Rhinolophus ferrumequinum: one gene and its partners. The protein of the gene in region 1 interacts with the protein of each later gene in a pairwise test. Links are inferred from orthologs where the notes say so. Each region holds a gene or a part of one and is shown on either strand. Other genes may lie near its edges. The genes, in order: SH2B1, INSR and NTRK1.

What was found.
Region 2: the proteins of SH2B1 (region 1) and INSR interact in binary tests that used the Homo sapiens proteins (3 or more experiments, as listed by UniProt). The link is inferred for Rhinolophus ferrumequinum from reciprocal best matches to the Homo sapiens genes SH2B1 and INSR.
Region 3: the proteins of SH2B1 (region 1) and NTRK1 interact in a two-hybrid assay, tested with the Homo sapiens proteins (2 studies listed by BioGRID). The link is inferred for Rhinolophus ferrumequinum from reciprocal best matches to the Homo sapiens genes SH2B1 and NTRK1.

The regions. Positions count from the first base shown.
Region 1 is NW_022680357.1:1,245,718-1,253,357, forward strand, and holds the start of SH2B1 (SH2B adapter protein 1), read left to right. Parts: upstream 1-3,450; 5' UTR 3,451-3,539; coding exon of another isoform or gene 3,540-3,567; 5' UTR 3,568-3,578; coding exon 3,579-4,943; intron 4,944-5,201; coding exon 5,202-5,303; intron 5,304-5,532; coding exon 5,533-5,624; intron 5,625-5,717; coding exon 5,718-5,893; intron 5,894-7,448; coding exon 7,449-7,640. UniProt on the Homo sapiens protein: Adapter protein for several members of the tyrosine kinase receptor family.
Region 2 is NC_046301.1:56,446,187-56,453,826, reverse strand, and holds the start of INSR (insulin receptor), read left to right. Parts: upstream 1-2,749; 5' UTR 2,750-2,858; coding exon 2,859-2,958; intron 2,959-7,640. UniProt on the Homo sapiens protein: Receptor tyrosine kinase which mediates the pleiotropic actions of insulin.
Region 3 is NC_046305.1:1,196,378-1,204,017, forward strand, and holds the start of NTRK1 (high affinity nerve growth factor receptor), read left to right. Parts: upstream 1-3,520; 5' UTR 3,521-3,576; coding exon 3,577-3,788; intron 3,789-6,434; coding exon 6,435-6,509; intron 6,510-6,745; coding exon 6,746-6,817; intron 6,818-7,640. Other genes in the region: INSRR (insulin receptor-related protein), read right to left, coding at 1,281-1,365. UniProt on the Homo sapiens protein: Receptor tyrosine kinase involved in the development and the maturation of the central and peripheral nervous systems through regulation of proliferation, differentiation and survival of sympathetic and nervous neurons.

The DNA of each region.
Region 1 (7,640 bases):
TTTACTCCTCTTTCTTTGCCTGCCTGTTAAATGTTGCTTGTTCCCCAGAATTAGGTCCTGGCCCTCTTCTCTCTACATATATTATCCGGACAATCTCCTGCCTGTCCATGGCTTCAACCACGACTCATGCCTCATCATCACCAAACTGCTTCCTGCAGCTCAGACCCTTCCCCCACCTCTGCTGGACAGCTCCACCTCCTCCACGAACACTTTCCATGTATGTACTATCTAATCCAGCAGTCAGTAGCCACGTGTAGCTATTTTAACCAGTCAAAATGACAACTTGTTCCTTAGTCACACCAGCCAGATTTGAAGGGCTCAAGAGCCATGTGGCTGCCACACTGGACAGTGCCAATATAACACATTTCATTCGCTGCAGAAAGTGTTATCGGACCGCTTATTAGACCCATCATTCTCAAACCTAATCCATTACCACCAGTCCCTTGTTTCCTCAACATGCGTCTTTGTCCTAAACAGTGGGGCAAGGCTAGAGAAAGAGTGCGTAAGGGTATCTGGGACAGGAAGGGGACCACAGAACTAAAATCTTTTGCGTTGCCATGCTCCCTTGAACTGGGAAGATGGGTGGACAGAGAGAATGGCGCAGGCCTTAACAAAGGCCACCTGTGAGCTTATGCTAATTTGGTTAGACGAGAGGTGCAGCTGGGAGACTTGGGATGGCGAGGCCAGAACGTGCGCAATGAATTTTTCCAACTCCGTCCGACAGCCTCAGCTTTGGACAAACATCCTCGCGTGGGTCCAGGCAGGTATCCATCTTCAAGCTCTTGCCTCTGTGTTCCAGGAAAAGCACTTAAGCTAAAATCGGTTCTGGAAATTTTATTGCAAATCTCAGAAAAGACGCATGATGCTTCCACTAGAGTTGCTCAGCTCTTAGGACTTAGGTCTGGAGCTATGGAAAGCCACTTTGCCAAGGAGAGGACAGTGCCTGAGAGTGAAGCCAAATGCATGGGGAATACAGAGCCCAGAGCAGGGGAACCCCAGGTTCTTGGTATCTTTGGGCCCTTCTATTCAGCTGGTCCTGAAGGAGCTTTATCCACGCTGGATTTTTCAAATGCTTGAGCAAGTAAGGGGCCCTTATTGCTTAGACCAGCGGGAGCTGGTGAATGAGAGACGGGGCAGATAGGATCTCTTCGTGCTCATGATTTCAACTACCCCCTATACGTTAACGATTCTCAATTCCTGACGGCTCTCCGGAGTTGCAGACTGTTCGTCCACCTGCTTCCTGTCGCCCACAAGCACGTCCAAAACTGACCTCGTTATGTCTACCCCCCATCTTTATCTCCCGTCTCAGACACTAAGACTCCTGGAGCCTCTAATCCCTTTTCTCCGAGAAGCCAAGGTCGCAAATTCAGGCTCCGCCTCCTCGCGGGGCCTCCCCAAGGTCACTCGCGTCCTTTCGGGCCCAGCTCCTTGGGGGCGGTGTCCGCGAAGCCCTCGGCCGCAGGGGCCCGGCGCTCTAGGCTGCAGCGGGTCCCTCCTAACGCCGTTCCAACGCGCTGGCTTCCGGTGCCCGGGGGTCGCTCTAGCCTCCCACAGGGCCTCGCGACTCTATCCCCTCAGGTGGCTTCTCTATGGTCGACTGCTGTCCTTTGTCCTGGATTTCTTCTTGGGGAAGATGCTCTGGTGGGACCCAACCCCCTCCTACGACGGCTTATGTCATCGAACACTCCGAAAGTCACACCCTGTTAGGTCTCCCGGGGTGCGCGGGGTGGGAGGGTGGCGGAAGTGAGCGCGAAGTTGCCCTTCCCTCTCGCCGCTCCTCTCTATGGTCGCTTCCTGCGGTGACCGGAAGAGGGGTCCCGACGCCTGCGCAGAAGCAGGCTGGGAGCTAGTCGCGGAGTGGGGGGGGCAGGGAGTGGGAGCTGCCGCCGCTGCCGCCGTCGCCGCCGCCGCCGGAGCTAACCGCGGGGACCGAGATGCAGGTGGGACCGGAAGCGGAACCCCCCTCTTCGAGTCCCTCTTCCCTCTCCGCGACCCGGCCTCGGCGCCTGCGAGGAGCCCTGGGTGGGAGAAGGCGTGGGTGGCCAGAGTCAGGAGGGGCGCTCGGCCCCGGAGAGGGCAGCAGGCAGGGTGGTCCCCCGGAGACTGCGGCCCCGGGGAATGGGCGGGTAAAGGGTGTCAGGGGAGTAGGGTCGGGTCCGAGGGGACTGCACCGGGCCCGGAGGGTCCTTAGCCGGGAGCGGAGCCTGCACCCTCCACCACCCGCCCTTCGGGAAATAGCAGAACGGAGCCAAGAGGCAGGTGCACCGGGAAAATGTGTCTGAGTCCTGCTTGGCAGAAGAGAAACTGAGTCACCAGCTCAGGAGCCGCAGGGGCAGCGGGCCTGAAGGGGGCTGGGTCGGCCTGTGGTGCAGAGGGTTGGGTGGGCCCGTCTGAGCTGAGCTGGCCTCTGCCCGGGGATTGATTTCTCTGCTGTGTCTGCACCTCGTGGCTCAGTCCCCCGTGCTCCGTGACTCTTGCATCTCCTGGCTTCTCCTTGGTTTGGAAGTGTCCCTAGGACTGGAGCCGTCTGAGTGTGGAGGGTCTAGGCCAAGGAGGAACGGGAGGGGTGGCCCACTGTGGGTCTGACCAGGAGTCTGAGGTTTTGGGGAGACTCCCCTGAGCTGCGGTCCCCCCCGACCCCCCGTCCTGGTGCCAGGCATCTTCCAGTAAAATATGGGGGGAGGAACACTACCAGAAGAGCCATGGGTTGTAAATTCCGTGCCCAACTCTGCCATTTGCTAGTGGAAGACGTGGGGAAGTCTCTTCCTTTCTCTGATTTCTCTTTTAGAACATTGGAACCCGGGAAGAGAGCAATAATGGCACTCATTGTGTGCTTACTTGGTGTCAAGCTCTGACGTGCCCCGTTTAATTCTCCCGGCACGTCTGGGGTTAAGAACCGTTAGCTCTGTGTTATAGGTACAGAAACTAAAGCCCAGAGAGGACATGTAATTCGTTCAAGATCACACAGCTCGTAGGTGGCAGGCAGAGCCTGGAGTTCATCCCCAGCCTGACTCCAGAACCCAGGGCCATAACGGGCAGGCGGACCAGCCTTTAGGGCACTCTCCTCAATGAGAAAAGAGGGAGGTGAAAAGTCCTAGGGCCCCAGCTCCCTCTTAACATTTTATCTACTTTGTGGCCGGCAAAGACTTGCCCCGACCCAACCTTGGTGATCTTTCCTCACCTGGTGCTGCCGCCATGAGCCCCCAACTGAAGGGGCAGCAAAGAACTGGGCTGTGACCGGTCCAGGCCTTCCTCACACAGCGCTTGGGTGCTGGGCCCTGGGCTTAGCTTTCAGGACCGTTACTGTCCATCCTCCATCCATTCTCCTCAGTAAGCAACCTCCCTCCTCAGAGCTGGATCTCAGGATACGGGAGACAGGGTCTCTGAGCTCTGCAGACCGGGCTTCGCGGAGGGCTGGGGCAGTGGGGGCTCTGCCTGAGGCCGGCCCAGTCCCTGGGAGCCAGGATTATGCAATGGGAAAAACGGTAGACATGGAGGTCTGAAACTTTTCTGAGCTTCGGTTTCCTCATCCTTTATAGAGGTTATTAAAACCTCTCGCGGGGAAAGGTAAGAACAGCATGTGGGAAGCATGTCGTACATACCTGGCGGCTCCATTTGAGAGAAGGGAGGTGATGTGGAAAGGAGGCCTTTTTAGAGACAGGTGCTCACTCCGCCACGGTTGCTCACTCGTGGACCCAAAGCCTGGGAAAGCGGGTGGGCCGGCGGCAGGCTGGACACGGGAGGGGGCATGTGGGCTGCGAGGGCCCGGGACGGGAGGGGAGCAGTTCTGTGTTGCTCCTCGTTGCTCTCTGAGGAGTCCGGGAGTCCAGCCCAGCGGAGGGAGTCTGGCTTGGGTGGGGCTCTACCCCCTGTCCCACCTCAGCAGTGACTCGGTGTCTGTGCCTCTTTCTTCTGCAGCTGCTGCCGCTCACCCTGTGTCTTCTGGCCGCTTCCCTCTTTGCTGCCCCTCCCCACAGGCTCCCCCCGGCCACCTCCTGGGGACCATCATGAATGGTACCCCTTCCCCGGAGGATGGGGCCTCCCCCTCTCCTCCCCCCTTGCCACTGCCCCCGCCCCCTAGTTGGCGGGAGTTCTGTGAGTCCCATGCCCGGGCTGCTGCCCTGGATTTTGCCCGCCGTTTTCGCCTCTACCTGGCCTCCCACCCTCAGTACGCAGGGCCTGGGGCCGAGGCTGCCTTCTCCCGCCGGTTTGCTGAGCTCTTCCTGCAGCATTTTGAAGCTGAGGTGGCCCGGGCCTCTGGCTCCCTCTCACCACCCATCCTGGCTCCCCTGAGTCCTGGCGTGGACGTCCCACTGCATGACCTGTCCCTTGAGACCTGCAGGGTAGGCGGCCCCCTGGCCGTGCTGGGCCCTTCCCGATCATCTGAAGACCTGGCCGGCCCCCTTCCTTCTTCGGTCTCTTCCTCTTCTACGACCTCCTCAAAGCCGAAGCTAAAGAAACGCTTCTCCCTCCGTTCCGTGGGTCGCTCTGTCCGCGGCTCCGTCCGCGGCATCCTGCAGTGGCGGGGGACTGTGGACCCTCCCTCCCCAACGGGGCCCCTCGAGACCTCGTCAGGGCCCCCAGTCTTAGGAGGAAACAGCAACTCCAACTCCTCGGGCGGGGCTGGGACCGTGGGCAGGGGACTGGCTAGTGATGGGACATCCCCGGGGGACAAATGGACTCACCGTTTTGAGAGGCTGAGACTCAGTCGGGGAGGGGCCGCCATGAAGGACGGAGCAGGGCTGGTACAGAGGGAAGAGCTGCTGAGCTTCATGGGGGCTGAAGAGGCAGCCCCTGACCCCGCCGCCGTGGGCCGGGGAGGAGGGGCCGCGGGGCCGACCTCAGGGGGAGCAGGGCCTCAGTGGCAGAAGTGTCGCTTGCTGCTGCGGAGTGAAGGAGAAGGAGGAGGAGGAAGTCGCCTGGAGTTCTTTGTACCACCCAAGGTGAGGCCCTGGTGGCGGGGGCTCTGGGAGCGAGGGGGGGTGCGCTGCCAGCATGGTCACGGCTGGGCCATCGCTTCACTGACCTTGGCTTTCAAAGCCCGCTCCTGCCTCTGGGTTTAGTAGCGGTGGCAGGACTGAAACACGAGTGTTGCTCCCTTTTGCCTGAATCCCTCCGGGTGTGGAAGCAGGAGTCTCTGGAGGGAAGCGGGCAATGGCCTCTGCTCACCAAAACCCGGCTCTTGTTCTCCCCCCACGTAGGCCTCTCGGCCCCGACTCAGCATCCCGTGCGCCTCCATCACGGACGTGCGGACCACCACGGCCTTGGAGATGCCGGACCGGGAGAACACGTTCGTGGTGAAGGTAGGGGTCCCGGGCTCCCCTGCGCCCCTGGAATGCTCGTGTTGGGGAGAAAGCTCTTAGCACGTACGAGCAAGGGACACGGTGGAAGGAGGTGCGTGTGTGTCACACGCCTGGAGAGTGTGTCCCTGGGGCTGGGCTGTGGCCTTCTGGGAGGAGGGGAAGAGACAGGGAGGACGTTCTTGTTCTTGTTTGAGTGGAAATGGCCTCGGGGCTCCCCCTGTCCCCACAGGTGGAAGGCTCCTCCGAGTACATCCTGGAGACCACGGATGCCGTCCGCGTGAAGGCCTGGGTGTCGGACATCCAGGAATGCCTGAGCCCGGGGTGAGGAGCCCGACCTCTGCCACCGTGGGGCGCGGCGGGGACGGGGAGCAGCCTGTACCTCTCATCCGGTGCCTCTCCTGCCTGTCTTTGCAGGCCCTGCCCCGCTACCAGCCCCCGCCCCATGACCCTCCCTCTGGCCCCTGGGACCTCATTTCTCACACGGGAGAACACGGACAACCTGGAGCTGCCCTGCCTGAATCACTCAGAGAGTCTGCCCAGCCAGGATTTGCTTCTGGGGCCCAGCGAGAGCAACGACCGCCTGTCGCAGGGTAAGGGCGGGGCCGTAGAGACCTGTGAATTCACAACTTGCCACCCCAGATCCCCTGCTCTCAGGCCCGGGACTCCACTGTGTACCCCACTCCTCCCCCTTAGCTACCCACCCCCACCCCCACCCCCACACGTTTGTCTCTTGTCCCTGAAGACGCCAAACCTCCGTTGGTCGTTTGGGACCATCAGCATCACCACCCCACACGAGCCAGAAGCAAACTTCCACTCACCCTCCTGTGCCCAGCCTGGTCACCTTCTGCATAAGCCTGCGTGGACCCCACTCTGGCTGGAGGTGACAGCTCTCTCCAAGCTTCCAGAACGCTCTGCACTCGTCTTCGTTTTGTTCTTATACTGTGTCTCCGTGCATGTGTCGATGGCACCGCGTTTTCTTTGGACTGTCTGTACCTCTTGGTCTGCCTACACACTCACACCCTTACCCCACACGTAAACACACAGACTGTGTGTTCCTGGCCCCCGGCTCACCTGTCTGGACTCCACGCCGAGTTTCATTTTGAGTCCCTGGCACGCAGGCTGCTTTCAGTGAGTGAAACGAGTTACAGGGTAGGCCTTCCACAGCAGCAGGTCCAGTCCCCTGGCTGCTCGGGCAGCTGACACCAGGGAGGGACATGGCTTTCCGATGTCCCCTGAGAGTCACTGGCGAAGGTGGGGCTCTGCCAGCGTGATGCCTGAGCCCTGCTGTGTAGCCTGCACGTACTCCTGTCTTCTGAGCAGTGACTAGGTGCCGTGTCAGGCCCGCCACTCAGCAGACAGTAGGCGTGGCCTGGTACACGCCTGCTCTGGGCCTGCTCTGGGCTGGGCTCCAGGGCAGGAAGGGAATGCAGACGTGCCTCAGAGGGAAACCCTGCCCTCCGTGGGCTCACAGTCTAAGTGAGGTGACAAGACATCACTGTAAAAAGCAGGACTCTGGAGAGCCCGTGCCTCGTGTCCTCTGAGCCCCACGAAACACCTTGGGAGCTCAGGAGGAAAGGAATCGGGGGTGCTGGAACAGATGGGGTACTATGCAGAGAAGGTGGGAGAAAGGACCATGGCCGGGTGAGGGGGCGGGGAGGCAGCTGCTGAGAGCAGAGAGCCCGGGAGGTTGGGGAGAAGCAGATGATTGGGCTCCCGTGGAGGATACCCGGACACGAGGTGAAGGTCAAGTCGGTGAGGTTGAGGGGGTTGTCAGAAGGGGGCTCTCGAACGCCTCTGAGAGTTGGGGGCTTTGTCCTCTTGGCCCGAAAGGATCCCTTTTTAATGCAAAAATATTTGAGAGATTCTACCCTCACTTCCGCAACAGAAGCTGTCATTTCAGCTGTTGAATCAAAAAAGATGGAGGCACTTTTGGGTTCTGGGACCGTGTGGTCCGTGTAGTCCCTGGGCATTGAATGGAACATAATGGGGGACCCGTCGGTGGGAAACACCAGGGGTCCCTGCATTTGAGCTCACGCACCCAGCAGTCCACACAGGGCAGGCTGGCTGGGGGGAGGTGGCCCAGGCAGGCCAGTCCCGCCGGGGCAGCTTCTCTGGGTCTCCACTTTGCTCTCCGTTCCTTTCCAGGGGCGTATGGGGGCCTCTCAGACCGCCCCTCGGCGTCCATCTCCCCCAGTTCCGCCTCCATCGCTGCCTCTCATTTTGACTCAATGGAACTGCTCCCCCCCGAGCTGCCTCCCCGCATCCCCATTGAAGAGGGGCCGCCAGCAGGGACGGGTCACCCACTCTCGGCCCCCTACCCACCCCCGGACACTCCGG
Region 2 (7,640 bases), on another chromosome or scaffold:
AAGGGGTGTCTGCCAGCTTTCTCCTCCACGAAGCTACCATTTTCCCTTTCTTTTATTATTGAAGACCATATAAATATCCGGTTACTTCTCAAACTTCCAACCGCAAGTTTTAGCATTCGTTGATAGTTCTCACCTGAATCAATTATTTTGGAGGTTGCCAAATGGTGATTTTCTATTTACTGTCCATTCCAATGATTTTTAATAAAAGGCAGAGGTTGACTTTCAATTTCTAGATGCTTTTTTTGAGAGGGGGTTGGGTTTACAAAAGGAACAATGAGTGGTGGTGGTGTCTAAATTTTCCCCCCAGCAAGTCACAATTGAATTGAAATAATTCTTTTGACTTTATACCTAACACGGAAGTCCCACATCATGAGGATTTCCAGAGGACAGCATGTCTCCTTTCATGTCTTTTTCAGCACACACTGCCTGCCTGGAATTGTGGTGGCTTTTGGGGGCTCCTGTGGGTCAGAAGGAAGCCCACAGCTGTGGACAGGTATGCACAAGAAGGAAGGGGAACAACATTTATCAAATCCACACTTCTTGATACTCTGGGACTGCAGCCGCCATCTATTTCTTCTCCGTTGGTTCGTTCTTGCCCCATTGCAGATGGTGAGATGTTATTGGACAGAAAAGCTGATTATGTTAACCCTTTTGTGTAAACCCTCTGGTGCATACCAATTGCTTTTAGGATAAAGGAGGTAGGGACCCTTAACATGGTGTAATTGAGGTTCTGCCCCTTCTAGTCCCACCCATGAGTTCAGCTTCTCCTCTTCTGTGCTCCAGCTACAGTGCCTAAGTTTAGTTACAAGAACACCCGTCTGTCCTCCTCTGAGCCTTTGCACATGCTGTTCCCTCTACCTGGAACATGATTGATTCCTTTGGCTGTTTATTCCTCATCTTCAGATTTCAGCTCAAATATCACTTCCTCAGAGAAGCCCCCCCATTATAACACATAAGATTGTTTAATTAATGGCCCTCTTCCCCCTGCAGACCATGAGTGTACAAGGAAATGGATTGTGTTTATTTTCCTCACTGTAAATCCCCATTAGTTATTGCATGTTGATTCTTCCATTCAACAAGTGATTATGAAGCAATGAGTATGTAAAGCACTGGGTATAAAATAGTGAACAAGACAGACAAGATTTCTGCCTTCATGGGGGGAAGAGAAGATACACACACACACAAAACAAGAATTTCAGGTAGAGATACAGGTGTGATGTTAATAACAGGGAAGCAAAGAAAAGGATTAAGGGAGGGGGCGTGGTCAGGGAAGGGTCACCGGAACAGAAAGGTGGAGCCAGGCACTGGAGGGACAGGGAGGGACAGGCACTAGGATAAGGGCCTGGAGGCAGGAGTAGGTTTGGTGCCATAGAGGAACAGTAGGCCCAGTTCCTGGCAAATTAATATTTGTCCCATATCCTCATGATGTGGGACTTCCGTGTTAGGTATAAAGTCAAAAATGTATGCCTTGGGCCTAGAGCTGTGCTGGGTGCTTTCTCATGCTTTACTTCCCCTGCAACTCCCCAAATCTGACCTGCAGGTATTGTTACATCCATCATGCAGGTGAGACCTATCCAGAGAGAGTGAAGTCACTGGTTCAGGGCTGCACAGGAAGTGAGGAGCCGCTCGATCCTCACTCGGTTCTGCTTTCCTGTACCTAAGGCGCCTTGCCCCCATTCAGTAAGGTAGGTTGACCATTGTCATGCCTTATTCATGAATGACATTGCCTAGACATTCAGATACATATGGAGGTCTGTGTATAGAAAATCGAGTGTGTCCACCTGCCCGGTACCCAGGAGATGTCTAGCGCCTGCTTTGCACTTTGGGGAGGTTCTGCACATTGTCCCACGTGTCCTCTCTCCAACTGAACCACAGGCCGCGCCTAGGGCTTGGTGCCACCGAGCACAATGAGCGCACCGGGCGGGCGGGCGAGTGCACGTGGCTGTCCCCAGGGGCCTGGCTCTGGGAGAGGGCGCACATGGGGCAGGAAGTCCGGGACGACGGTGAGGCGAGTGCAACATTTAAGGGAGTACCAAAAACCCGAGCAACCAAGATAAATAATATTTTAATGCAATATTAAAAAAAAAATGAAAACGAATGCCCCAAAGTCCACAAGAAACAAAATAGCAAAATGTTAACGACATATTTTGCTGGGTTGGGCATGTAGGGGGTCCCCGGGCTCTGAGACATGGCGCTCAGGCCAGGCAGGGATCTGGGGCACCCCCTGAGCTAGGGGGGCGCTCGGGACCTCTAGCGTGGGGCCCTGGAGAGGGAGGCAGGCGGGCGGGGCGGTGCCTCTCTCTGGCTGGCCTTCCTCCACCCCTCCCGGGCCTCTACCAGGCGCCGAGTCCCTTCCGAGTGTGGATCCGTGCCGCCTTTTACTGCCGCCTGCACAGGGCCCAGCTGACGGGCCTCGTTGTTTACGGGCCGAGCAGCCCTTGCTCCCGCCGACCGCCCGCACCCGCCAGCCCTGGTGCCTGCCCGCCAGTCCGCGCGTCCTTCTGTCCGTTCGTCCGTTTGTCCGGGCGCCCGCAGATTGCGGCCCAGAGCGGTCGGGGCCGAGAGCCGAGAGGTCCGGGGTGCAGCGTGGTGCTACCGGCCCTGAGATCGCGGGACGGGGCTAGGGCCGCAGTAGCCCGGGGTTGGGGCCGCGCGGCGGAATTTGTAGCGGCTGAGGCCGAGCTCCCCGCCCGGGCTGATACAAGAGTCTTTCTGGGCCAGGACTGTGGCCCGTGGGCTGCCGGCGTAGAAGAGGAGGAGGCAGGGTCATCAGCGCCTCCCAGGCGGCCACCTCGGAGCATGACCCCCGCGGGCCGGCGCCGCGCGCTCTGATCCACCGGACCGGTGCTCCCGCAGCCATGGGCGCTGCGGGCAGGCGGGGGGCGGCCGCCGCGCCGCTGCTGGTGGCTGTGGCCGCGCTGCTGGTGGGCGCCGCGGGCCACCTGTACCCTGGAGAGGGTGAGTCCGGGGGTCTGGGAGTGGGCGGGGAGCAGCGTGGGGGGTTTGGGGACCCCTTGCCAAAATGGAGCCCCATTTGGAACTCAGAGCCCTTCTCGGTGGGGGGCAGGTGGCCCGAATTGTCTCTCCAGCTTCGCGGGGGGCGGAAAGCCGCTGACCTTGGCCTTTGCCCGCCTGGGCTCACGGCTCCGCGCCCCGCGTGCCGGCCCGGACTGGAGGAACCTTCCCCCAGTGCCCGCCCCGCCGCAGGCGCCCCTCTCCGGAGCTCACCGCTGACCAATGCCTCGCCTCCTCGGAGCCCAATTCGCTCCAGAGACGGACACCCATCCTCTCTGGGTCGCCTTTGAGAAGTGGGGTCCCTGGGTCTGGGTGGCCTCGGGCAGCCCAATGCCTGGGGCACACACAGTTTGGAGCCAGAGGCGAGGATGAAAGACTTGGGGGGGCGGTGTCCACTGGGGTCCCGCTGGTAGGTGACGCTGCGGGAGGCGGGAAATTGTACCCTCCTCCTGCCCCATTCCTGAGAGGTAGGCCCGTGGCCACCTGGGGCTCCAGGTCCATGTTTACACTTTTGGCTTCTGTTTCCAGATGTCCGGAGGCAAACTCGCGCGCCGTGGTAACAGCACAGTTGTAGTAGAAGAAGCAGTGGCGGTTTTCATTATGATTATAATTAGCGTCACCGAATGCCACTGGGCTGGTCCATCTTATCTCTCTGGACTCCAGAGGCAGATACTGTTGTTCGCCCGTTTTATAGAGGAGTAAACAGGCTCAGGGAGAAGACCATTCACTTGCCCCAAAGTCAATGCCAGAGGGAGGACTTGAGCCGCTCTGTGTACTGCCATCTCCCTGATAACCTCCCCGCTACAGCTCTGCCCTTCATGAAGGGGGTTTTACTTGTTAGCCCCACGAAGTTTGTAACCTTGGGTGAGCGTCTCACACTCCTACCCCCGTGGGCCTCCTTCCTGGGCTTCCCTGTGCTGGCAGCAGAAGGAAGCAACCCCCCATTCCAGCATCCTCCTTGGGGCTCGATAGCAGGCCTTTCTGTTTGTGGGACAAGGGCTGAAGAATCATGTAAGAGAATATAGCTGGGGTGTTTCACCATTGTGTCTGAGGCCCTGCTTTAAAAATATCTGTTGGGTTCCTTCAGATTTCTCCATAAAAGGAAATCAGTCATGATGAGGAAGGGGTCGGGGAGGGAAGATATAGAAGCTCCTGAGTTTCCTGATGGTAAATGAGACACATGAGAAAGCACACACAGGTTCTGGCGTTGACAAACGCAGCTTGCTGAGCGCCTCTGCTAATTACACAATGACTCGAAGCCCCCGAGTGCCTGGTATACAGTAGGCACTCAATGAAGGGTGGCAGTTGTTTTGGGTTCTTGTTAAGAAAATCCAAGATGTATTGTTAGACCTAACGCCAGATTGTGTGTGTGTGTGTGTGTGTGTGTGTGTGTGTGTGTGTCTGTGTCTGTGTGTATGCGCGTGCACGCAGGGATATGTGTAGTTCCCTGCTCCTCTGTTCCTTGCACTTTGGTAATTAATTCAATTAATTGTGGATTTGTGCCTGGGCTTCCAGGGGTCAATAGATGGCTTTGCCACTTCTTTACATGTTTAGAGTTTCCACAACAGCAGAGGCTTTTGTTTCTTTCATTCACTGTTACATTTCCAGAGCCTGGAACAGTGCCTGGTGCTTAGTAGGTGTGTGGTAAATATTTGTCCTTGATTTGGCTCCTGTCCTTTTTGTTCTCACTGGTATTCCTTTATCCTCCAGACAATACCTAACTAATAATAACAAACACGTGGCAGGTCATATTCTATATGCTTTGCATGTATAATCTCAGTTACTCCTCACCACAACCCTGTGAGGCAGGGTTTATCCTTTTTCCACAGGTGAGGAAATTGACTATGTTACAGAGCCAGTGGGCAGCAGAGCTGGAATCAGAACCCCTCCTAGTCTGGCTGCCCAACACTGGTTTCTTACCAAATGGTCCTTCTTTTGGGTCTGGGCCTCCCCACTCCAGCGCTGCAGTAATAGTTAACAAAATCCTATCAAATAACTTCCCCTTGGAAGTTTGGGGAGGGAGGAGGCATTTTAAAGCTATAATGTCTGGCAGGGAGGAGGGTGGAGGGAAATCAACTTGATTTTTAAGAAATGAGGGACTCTTCCTTGGAGATGTCACCCCACTGCCTTCTCCATGAAGTCGCTGTTGCTTTGCTGAACTGAATAATGGTTTCCCCGCCATTTCTCCTTGGGTTGGCTGGCTCCGTGACTACCTGTGGGCCTTGCAAAGTCAGAGAATGCAGGTGATGTGGGATGAATTAAAATAAAAACCCCACAGAGCTTTGGGGTGAGGGTTCCGTGAGTCACCTAATTGAGGTCGGAGACGCTTGCTTCCAAATCCTCCTCGGTTTTCAAGGCGGCCTGAGATGTTTCTGTATCTTCTCTTATGCGCTCTGGAGCCCGAGGGGCAGAACGTCTGCCTGCTCGGGTACCTCCCTGGGGTTATTCCTAACTTTTCCTTCTCTCCTGGAGACCTGCCCTCTGTCCCTGCCCCACTCATGCATAGAGGGCACTGGGGTGAGCCCCCTGCGGTCCCCACCGTACCCCACTCCATCATTGACTTCCATTCTCATTTGATTAGAGCAGAATCGCTCAATCTCTCAATCTCAGTGATTTTGACATTGAGTTTAGATAGTCTTGGTTGTGGGGGGGCCGGGCTGTGTATTGTTGGATGTGGAGCAGCAGCGTTCCCAGTCCCTACCCACTAGATGCCAGGAGCACCTTCCCTCTCCAAGTCATGACAATCAACAGTGTCTCATGACATTGCCGACTGGTCCGCAGTTGAAAACCACTGCATTTGGGGAGATAACTTCTTTCTTGTCTAGGACACTTATCCATCCGGATGCCTGCTCTCTCCCCTTTGTTTGTTCAGGGATCTCCATCTGCCCAGGAGCCTTACTCTCTCCAGCCTATAAACATTCAATGCTTCCCTGAACCTCATTACCTACCACCCACCTCCAGTTTTCCGCTGCCAAACCCCGACTTGGCAGGTCCTCTCCACAATCTCGTTTTCTAACCTTTCACCCACTGCTCTACCCATGGCATCTGGCTTGTATCTCCCTCGCTTTGCTTTGCCGGTGGTTCTAGAGATGGTAATTCCTCACCTCCCAATTGCCTCTCCTGCAGCCTCACCTCCATTAACCTCTCTGGATTTGCCTCTGCCTACCCCCTCCAACTGGAAGGCACAGTCTCCTGGCGAGTTTTCACCTGTGACTGGCGTCCCCTGGTCCTCCCTCTTCTCTTCCTCTGTTCTGTGTTAGCTCTCTTCATAGAGGGAAAATCCCTACTCTGACCCTCTCTCAGCCCACTGTTTTATTTACATATAGCCAAACTCCATCTAGGACAGGAGCCAGCAAACTACACCCGCAGGCTAAATCTTCTGCCCTCCCACACCTGTTTTTGTAAATAAAGTTTTATTGGCACCCAGCCACACTCATTCGTTTATGCATCATCAATAGCTGCGTTTGCTCTCTAATGGCAGAGGATATTGTGATTGCATGGCCTGCAAAAATATTTACACTTTAGCTCTTTACAGAGAAAGTTTGCTGACTCTTGATTTAGAACAAACTCCTTGAGGAGCAGGATGACATGCCTAACAGCTCGTGTGGTCCCTGGTGAAAAACTGAATGAATCAAATGAAACAAAATGCCAGATAAGTTGTGTTTTTCCCTTTACAGAGCAAGCTGTATTAAAGAAACTTATACATTTGTTGTGCTGAATGTATTGGTTCTGATGGTGAGAAAATATCAGTGATTTTTCCTCGTTAGTTTTGTGTGTGTGTGTGTGTGTGTGTGTGTGTGTGTGTGATCTTAGGATTTATTTATTTCAACAGTCATCTTGGCGTTGAATGAGGATTTCGTGCCATTGGCTCTGTCTCTAGAGCCCAAAAGAAAGTGATGTCTGCTGAGATTTTTCTCTGAAGACCTCTTGTGTTCCTTTCTATTAAGAATACGTCAGGGGTGGCTTGGTTTATGTTTTGCAATCAAGACTGTGCGTATGGTTTTTTAATTAGAATAATAAATAACAAGTAATGCATTCTCACTGAAAAAAAATCAGGCAAGTACAGAGAGGAAAAAACAAAAGTTATTAGTTTGGCATATATCTTTTTAAATTTTTAAAATTATTATACAGTAAAATTGACTCTTTTTTTGGTGCACAGTTTTCAAAATTTCACCCAGGCATAGAGGTGTGTGGCCGTCCCCACAATCAGGATCCAGAACTGTCCTTTCTCTCCCTGCCCAAATTCCCTTTGGCCACCCCTTTATCCTTACACCACCCCACCCCTCACCCCGGGCAACACTGATTTATTCTTCATCCCTATAGTTTTCTCCAGACTTTAAAAATTATCCTATAGTTGGATTAATATTCTTCAAATTGAAAATTTTAATCTAAGTACTGGATTTCACATTTGTGAATTAGCTTATTCGCTGAATTTATTTGTAACTCCAAAATTAATATTCAAAGCACTTTTGTGGTCACTCCCGGACACACGCAGAGGGGTGAAAAATGCAAGTCACCTGACTTGAACGTTCCAGCTGAAGTCAGCCATGGCAGTGCTGTACCTTCTGTGTCAGCTCTCCGAAGGTGGATTCATGCAATCCTAAGAATGAAAACAAGTGCCCTTT
Region 3 (7,640 bases), on another chromosome or scaffold:
ACTTCACACCTCCCTGCTGTCACTCCCTGCCCCTGAGCTTGGCTCTGCCCTGTGAGTGTGTGTGTCTGAGCACAGGCAGACACAGACGCCACACACAAGAGGGAGAGAGAAGGAGAAAACACTTGTACCCCTCCAGGCGAGGGCCAATCAGGCTCTGCGAGGCAGATGGGGGGTTCTCAGGCGCTCACGTGCCACTTCCCATCATGCCCCCTGCCTCTCTAGGGCTCCCCTGATGAGACTCATTTGGAAAAACAAGTCTTCGACCTTCTCAGATTAACCCCTGTCTGTCTCGCCTAGGACATGGCCCTGGGCAGAGCCGCACTGGGAATGGGACATCTGTGTCCCCTGACCAAACACCAACCCGAGGGACGTGCTCCTGTCCCTGACAACCGGGCTGCTGGCTGGCATCTTGTGTCAGGCCCTGCACAGCAGTGGAGGAGCAGAGCCCTGCGGGGGAGGGTCTATGCCTTGAAGGCAGTGCCTCTGTGACTAGCACTCTTGGGGGACCCCTACCCCAATACATTTGCATCATCCCTATCTCGGTAGGAAGAGGAGACTGGAGGCCCCCAGTCTGAGGACATCAGGGGAACTTCTCAGGCAGGCACACAGCACTGGGTGCCTGAGCCCCCATCAGTCCAGAAGGGAAGGGTAGGATCGGGGAAGGGGACATTTCTTAATCCTTTTTTGAATCTTCCACCCTCAGCTTTTTCCCCTCTCCCAGCCAAGCCCCCCAGCACCCTCGTGAGGGCCACTTAATCCACATGGTTCCCCCCCTCCGCCCTCAGCCCTACACATGGGAATTGTCTAGCCTGGGGCATGAGAGAAAAGCAGCCCCCACGCCACTGAATGGGCCCTGGAGGCAGGAGCTCAGGACCTCAGTCCAGCTTTACCTCTCAATTTTCTGAGCCTCAGTCTCCTGTCTGCACAATGGGTTCAGTTACTTAAAGCGCCCAGTTTTCAGCTACCCACCCCATCCCATCGCTGCCCCCTCCCACTCAGGGGCCCTGGAAATGACTTCTCAGACTCTCTCCCCTCATCTTGGTTCGCGTCCCAGTTTCACCAGCGGGGTTGGGAATGGAGGGTATCTATTTGTCCCTCTGTTTCAAGGTCCTTCTCACCTCCCAGGGAACTGAGAGGAAAACACCCTCATGTGGGGAGCTAACTGCTCTTTCTGGGGAAGTCCTTCACACCGCAATAGTTGTGTCCTGGCTGGAAGCTCAGTTTGGCTTCCCAGCTGGCAGGGAGGGAGACGCGGCTCCAGGAGAGTGCCGGGGACTCACCCTCCAGTGTGTCCAGGCCAAGTCCCAGGGACAGGAGGACCACAAGCAGGCATGCCACCCACGGCCACAGACTGGGCACTGCCATTGCCTCAGTGCTGGCTCTCCTCCAGATGGCTCCGGGGAGCGGAACGGTCTGACTGGCCCTAAGAGATACAGAGACACAGGCTTCAGAGGAGAGGGGGAGGGTAGGGACCGAGCTACAAGGAATCCCACACATAGGTGGCAGGAGACAGGAAAAAGGAGTGACAGCCACAGAGACAGACAGTGACAAGCAGCTGGAGACAGAAAGATGAGGACAGAGATGCAGAGAACAACAGGGAAAGACTAGAGAGGACCCCCGGGGGAGAAAGTCACACCGGGTGCAGAGCAAAAGGCGATCCAAAAGGCCGGCCAGCCCAAGGGCAGAGAGAAGCCCAGGGAGCTTGCCGTGCCAAGGAGAGTAGCGGGGGTCCTGGGGCGCGCTGGAGAGTCTCCCCGGATCCCTGGGGGCACGCTCGGCTCCCAAGCCCGCTGGCCGCGCAGGCTGCGAGTCCTCGGGCGCGTGCAGGGGCCTCGCCCTGCTCCCGCCCTCCCCGCCCCCAGCCCAAACGGATTGGTTTGCTGGGACCTCTCGGCTCTCTCCGCCCCTCCCGCTAAACCAAAATATTTAGCCTGACAACTGAGGGGGGAACAGGTCTGTTGGGGAAATAAGGCCAAAATGCAGGGGGGTGCTAGACCAAGATCTGAGCTCCCCCGCCCCCGCCCTGCAGACTTCTCCCAGGCAGGGCTGCACGGCCAGAAGCGCGGCGGGCTGTCGGGTCCCCTGGGGAGGGGTGGTTCTAGGTTCTGCCACTGGTACCTTGACACCTGCGGGGTAACTTCTGGCAGCCTTGACCGGCAGAGCGAGCTTGTTGAAACCTGGCGGGAACGTGACTTGTGTCTGCTGAATATTCAAGCCCGTGGCTTCTGGGAGCCCAGGAGGCCACCACTCCCGTCCCAGCCAAGTCCCTTGGTTCCGACCAATATCCCTTCGGAGAGGGCCATCACCCTGTGGGGACCCACCTCTGTCCGGCCACCTTCCTGAATTCAGGCTTCTGGGTTGGCTTGGTCTGTCTGTCCGTCCCTGCCTCAGGGAACTGGAGCACATCTGTGCTGGGCCTGGCGGAGAGGCGAGCAGCACGCGGCTCTCTCCGTGGGGCCCTTGTTTGCCCCCCTTTCCTGAGTCCTTCCTTCAGGGCCCCTTTTTCTCCCCATCTCCCCGGCTTGACACAGTCGGGCCGCTGTAGCCACAAAGGGGCTGTCAGGGGCTGGGACTTATCCTGTGGCTCCCTGGGTTCTGGGAATCCCGGGGCTTTCCGGGTGCGCGGCCCCCTAGAACCGACCGGTCCCAGCTCCACCCGCCGGCCGCTCCCGCATCCAAGGAGCTAAGAGAAGACCTATTAATTTCTCCGCGCAGAAATCGATGCTCTTGTCAGGGCGGCGATCGATGCCCGCGCGGCCCGGCTTGGCCCTACCCGGCCAGGGGGCCAGTGCTGGCCGGCCGGGTTCGGGGGCTGATGATGGGTGGCGAGGCGCGCAGTGGGCGCTGCAGGCCGCGCCCCCACCCACCCGACCCCGGCCGAGCTCGCACCTTTGCTCGCGGGCTTCTGGCGCCACCCTGTGGCCTCTCCAGGAAGTCGGCGTGTCGGCTCCCCGGTCGCCCCTCTCCAGCTCTGGGAGACACTTTCCTTCTCTGCCTCTTCTGAGTTTTCCTTCCCCAGGTCCTGCGTTTGGTTTTCTTTGGGTCCCTTCCCTTTTCTTTGTAGGGTTTTGAGAGTGTTACACCTAATTTATCCAAGTGACACTGCACAGTCGCTCCGGCACGCGCGCCCTGAGGAGGGAGATCGGAAGCCGGGGGCTGGCTGGGGTGACCAGGACCGCAACCTTTCCCGGCTCCATCACCTCCCCTCCCCCCTAAATGCAGCTGCTTTAGGCTGGGAAAAATAGCGTATCAACTTCCCCTCTCCTCCACCCAGCAGACACCTCTGAGGCGTTCCGCGGCCGCGCCCCCGCGTCTCCCGGAGCTGGGGGGCATCTTGGGGGAGAAGGCTGGCGCGGGGGCCCCCGAAAGGGGTGGGGGCCGAGTCGGGGGCTTAGGAGCGGTGGGGGAGACGTGGGAACCAGAGGGGGCGGGGCGGGGCGGGGCGGGGCCGATGGCTCCGCCCTTTCCTGGCGACTGGGTCATTAACACCGCCCCGCGCACGTGTCGGGGGAGGCCCGGCGCCCGCTGCTGGAGCGCACAGACGGCGGCCCGCGGGGCGAGGCGAGCGTCGCAGCGATGCTGCGAGGCGGTGGGCGCCGGCAGCTTGGCCGGCACGGCCGGCCTACGGGCCCGGGCAGCCTGCTGGCCTGGCTGATGCTGGCATCTGCGGGCGCCGCACCCTGCTCTGATGTCTGCTGCCCCCACGGCCCTTCGGGGCTGCGCTGCACCCGGACTGGGGCCCTGGATAGCCTCCGCCACCTGCCGGGCACCGAGAACCTTACGGAACTGTGAGTGTCCGCGAGCGGGGGATCGCGGGGACCGGCGCGCATAGCCGTGCCCCGAGGGCGCGGACTCGCCCGTGGTCAGGAAGGGCGGGCGCTGCGGTTGGCTGTGCTCCCGCAGTTCCTGCTGGACGTGGGTTAGAGCTCAGTGTGGCTGGGGCACAGGCTTCGGGGAGAGTAAGGGGCGCTCTCCGTGGCCAGTTCTGGGAAAGCCCAGCGATGTGGAAGCCGCCTCCTGGAGCCAGGCAGAGCTGGGAGGGACGTGGTTAGCTGCTGGGAGGGACGTGGACCCTTCAGTTTGGTCCTTCCGGCCTTATCCCCTTTCCATGGGGAAACCAGTCCCCACCCCCTCTTCCTTGTCATGACCAGGCAACCCCAACTGTTCCCCCTGCAATTGGGAATTGAACTGGAAAAGTGGGAGGAGGTGAAAAGTCATAGCTTGGAGGCTGAGCTCTCTTCTCCCCATAGCCACTACCTCCTGTCTCCTCGACCCCTTGCTTCGGATGTATGAAATGGGACTCCCCCCTTGTCTCTCCTCACCCCCCTCTCCCTTTCCACCCTGTCTCCCTACTTGGGGCAGGGTGTCAGGCCTCAGACTGGGAGGAATCTCCAGCATTCTGCAGTAATCGGTCACAAAATACTCAAGTACTTTTTAGCAGCTGGTGAAACCTATGGGAGTATTCTGTAATAATTGGCCTAGAGGTACTCAAGCATCACATGCTGATGGCTGAAAAATACTTGAGTATTCTGTTTGGCTAATGGGGCCAGCAGGACTTCTAGAAGAGAGGAGGACATGCTAGAATATCTTCCTCTGGCCTGGGGCTTACAGGGTGGACGAGGAACCCTGGCCTTAGGCGGTGATGGACGGGCTGGAAGGTGTGCAAGGTAGTGCCGTCACTGTCTGGAAGTTACTTGAGAAGCATTCCATAATTGGCACCGAGTTACTCGGGTATCTCGTGGTAATTAACGGGAAGGTACTCCATCTCTCTAACGGCCCTAGGGAGACCAGGAGGAGAAGAGAGGGCCTTGTCTTGGTCGGGGCCTAGGTCCCTGCATAACGGCAGGGAGCATGAGATCCAGGCTGCCCCGGTCCGGTCCACTCATCATCCCCCTGGGCCTTCACACCACGGCCCAGGCTTCTGAATGGTCCCACCAGCGCTCTCATCTCCCAGTTCCCTTCCAAGCCCCAAGTGGGTCCAGCGTGGGGTGGGGGGCGCGTGGACGGGCTGGGGCTGGGACTAGGACTCACGCAGGGTGGTGAGGAGGGGTCCCTCTGGGTGGGGCGGCAGCCTGACCTGTGCCTCAGCCTGCACACGCTGGGCCCCCTCCTCCTCCCGCACTCGCAGAGCTAACGAGGAGATAATGGACTCGAATAGACAGATTGATTACGAATCCAAACGAATGGGGCAGCTTTGAGCACGCTGCCTGACAGCTTTCTCACCCCTCCCTGGGTCCCTATAGCTCTGGACAGAGACTTACTCTCCCTCCCAGTCACTGGAGGTTATTCCCAGGGGACTGCGGGCCTGGTACCCAGCTGTCCACTGGGGCCACGGCTGTGAAGGGGGGAGGAGGAAAGGGTCACTCAGGCTGGGCCTGGTTCCCACAAGTTAGGGAAAGTAGGAGTGGGGGAGAGTGCTGAGACAGGCAGTGAGTCAGGGGCCTGGCACTGGGCGCCTGTGTGTGGGGCAAGTACTCTGCAAGAAGCTGAGTTCTCAGGAACTCCCTGGCGTGCGGGATCCAGGACCCAGGGCGCCAGCAGCCCCCCACCCAGCCGGGCCTCTCTTCCTTCTTCGTTCTCATCTCCCTATCTTGGCTCTCTGGCTCTGTCCTTATCTCTCTGTCTCTCTGTCTCCCTTTCCTTATCTGTTTTGCTCCTTGCCTGTCTCTCTCTCCCTGCCAGTCTCTTCCTGTCAGTATCTCTTTCTCAGTGCCTGCCTCACTGTCTGTTGTGCTGCCACCCCGCCCTGTTGAGTCTTCCCATTGCTCTCTCACTGTGTAAGCCAGCCAGTCCGTGCCCCTTTACTGCCCCTCTCCTCCTTCCTGGGTCCCTCCTGGGCAGGGAGGGGGTCAAAGCATCCCTGACTGACAGCCTCTATGCCTCTGCTTGCTCTGCTGAGAGGTGGGGGTGGGGGGGACTATGGATTGCTGCTTGAGGGTGGGCACGGGGAGAGGGTGGGATGTGTGTGTGTGTGTGTGTGTGTGTGTGTGTGTGTAGCAACACAGGTGAGACCAGGTAGTGGCCCCGAGCGGGCGTGTTTGGGCACACAGGTTTGCATGACCGTGGGTGTCCCGTGTGCTGGGCGGGGCTGTGGCAGCAATGTTTCAGCGTGACCCCCTTGAGCATGTGCGGGAGAGGCCTTGTGTGAAAGTAGAACGCCAGGCCATGTGTTTGTGAATGTGAGCGTGCGCATTTGTCACATGTGTGTGTACATGAAATGCATACGTGTGCCCGTGTGAGGGTGTGGGCATGCAGGTGTGTGTACACCTGTGTAGGAGGTGTGTCTCTGTGTCTGTGTGTGTGCATGCCCGTGCTTGTGTCTGCGTGTAAACAGGTCTGTGCATGAGTGTGCATACATGTGACTGTGAGGGGCAGGTGGGGGGGTACTTAGGGGGGGGGTGGCCTCCGCTGACTCCCGTCCCCTGTCCCCACAGCTACATCGAGAACGAGACGCAGCTCCGGCATCTGAACCTCACTCACCTGAGGGGCCTGGGGGAGCTGAGAAACCTGTGAGCGGCGGGGCTCTGTGGAGTGGGGCGTAGTGCGGAGCCTGGAGGGCAGAGGGTCAGGCTGGGCTCAGCGACCCAGGGGCCTGGGAGGGCCCAGGGGCTGGCGGAGGTCACGGCCAGTGCAGCCGGGGAAGCTGTGAGGGCTGGGAAGGGTCCAGGGCTCCGCACGGGGGCTGGGGGCCGGCGTGGGCAGTGGCCAGGGCCCCGGTAGCTGACCCTGCTGCTCCCGTCCCCAGCTCCATCGTGAAGAGTGGCCTCCATTTCGTGGCGCCAGATGCATTCCATTTCACCCCTCAGCTCAGTCGTCTGTGAGTGGCCAGGGCTGGGCAGAAGGGGTGGGAGGCCACCCAGACTTGGGCGGCTAATGGGCTGGGCCTCCCCGGGGACCTGTTCTGAGAAAGGCTCCAGCCTGGGGCTTCTTCTCATCCCCTCTGGGGATGGCACTTCTCTCAGCTCCCACTCCTGCCAGCTTGGTCCTTCTTGCTGTCTCATGTCCATGCTTCGTGCTGCAGGAAGACTTTCTAGGTGCCTGCCCTATTTTGCTTCCCAGGGTTCAGATACACATGGACTGGGGCACGGGGGGAGGGGGCGGCCAGGACCCTGGGGTGTGGCTGGGACTCCATCTCCCACCCCCTCCCAGCCCCTGGGATAGCCTGGGAGCTGGACTGTCAGACCTGCCACTCACCACCTTCCCCATTTTGGGGAGTCACAGCTCAGGACAGGGAGGGGACAGATGGCCAGGAGAGACTTGTGAAGGGAGACCCTGGGAGTCAGTCCCTGGTGGCCCCTCTCCTGCACAGGGTGGGCGGTGGGTGGAGAGATGGGGAGGGTGGTGGGGCCGGCCATTCCTGTGGTTGTGCTGGGAACTCTAAACTGTCGTGACCAATGATTTAGCAAAGACAACAGCAAAAACTAAGGTGACGTCACATCCTGACTGCATCCTGGGGGCTTCAGTTAAAACTGTGTACCTCACGCTACTTAATGACCTGGTAAGAGAGAGTGTCACCCCGTGTTATAGATGAGGAGGCTGGGACTCAGAGAGGCAGCTCTGGCCTGTGGTCACACAGCCGTAAGTGGCAGGACAGAAGCACACTGAGCTCTGTCTGGTGCTAACGTGGTCGGCATTTCTGA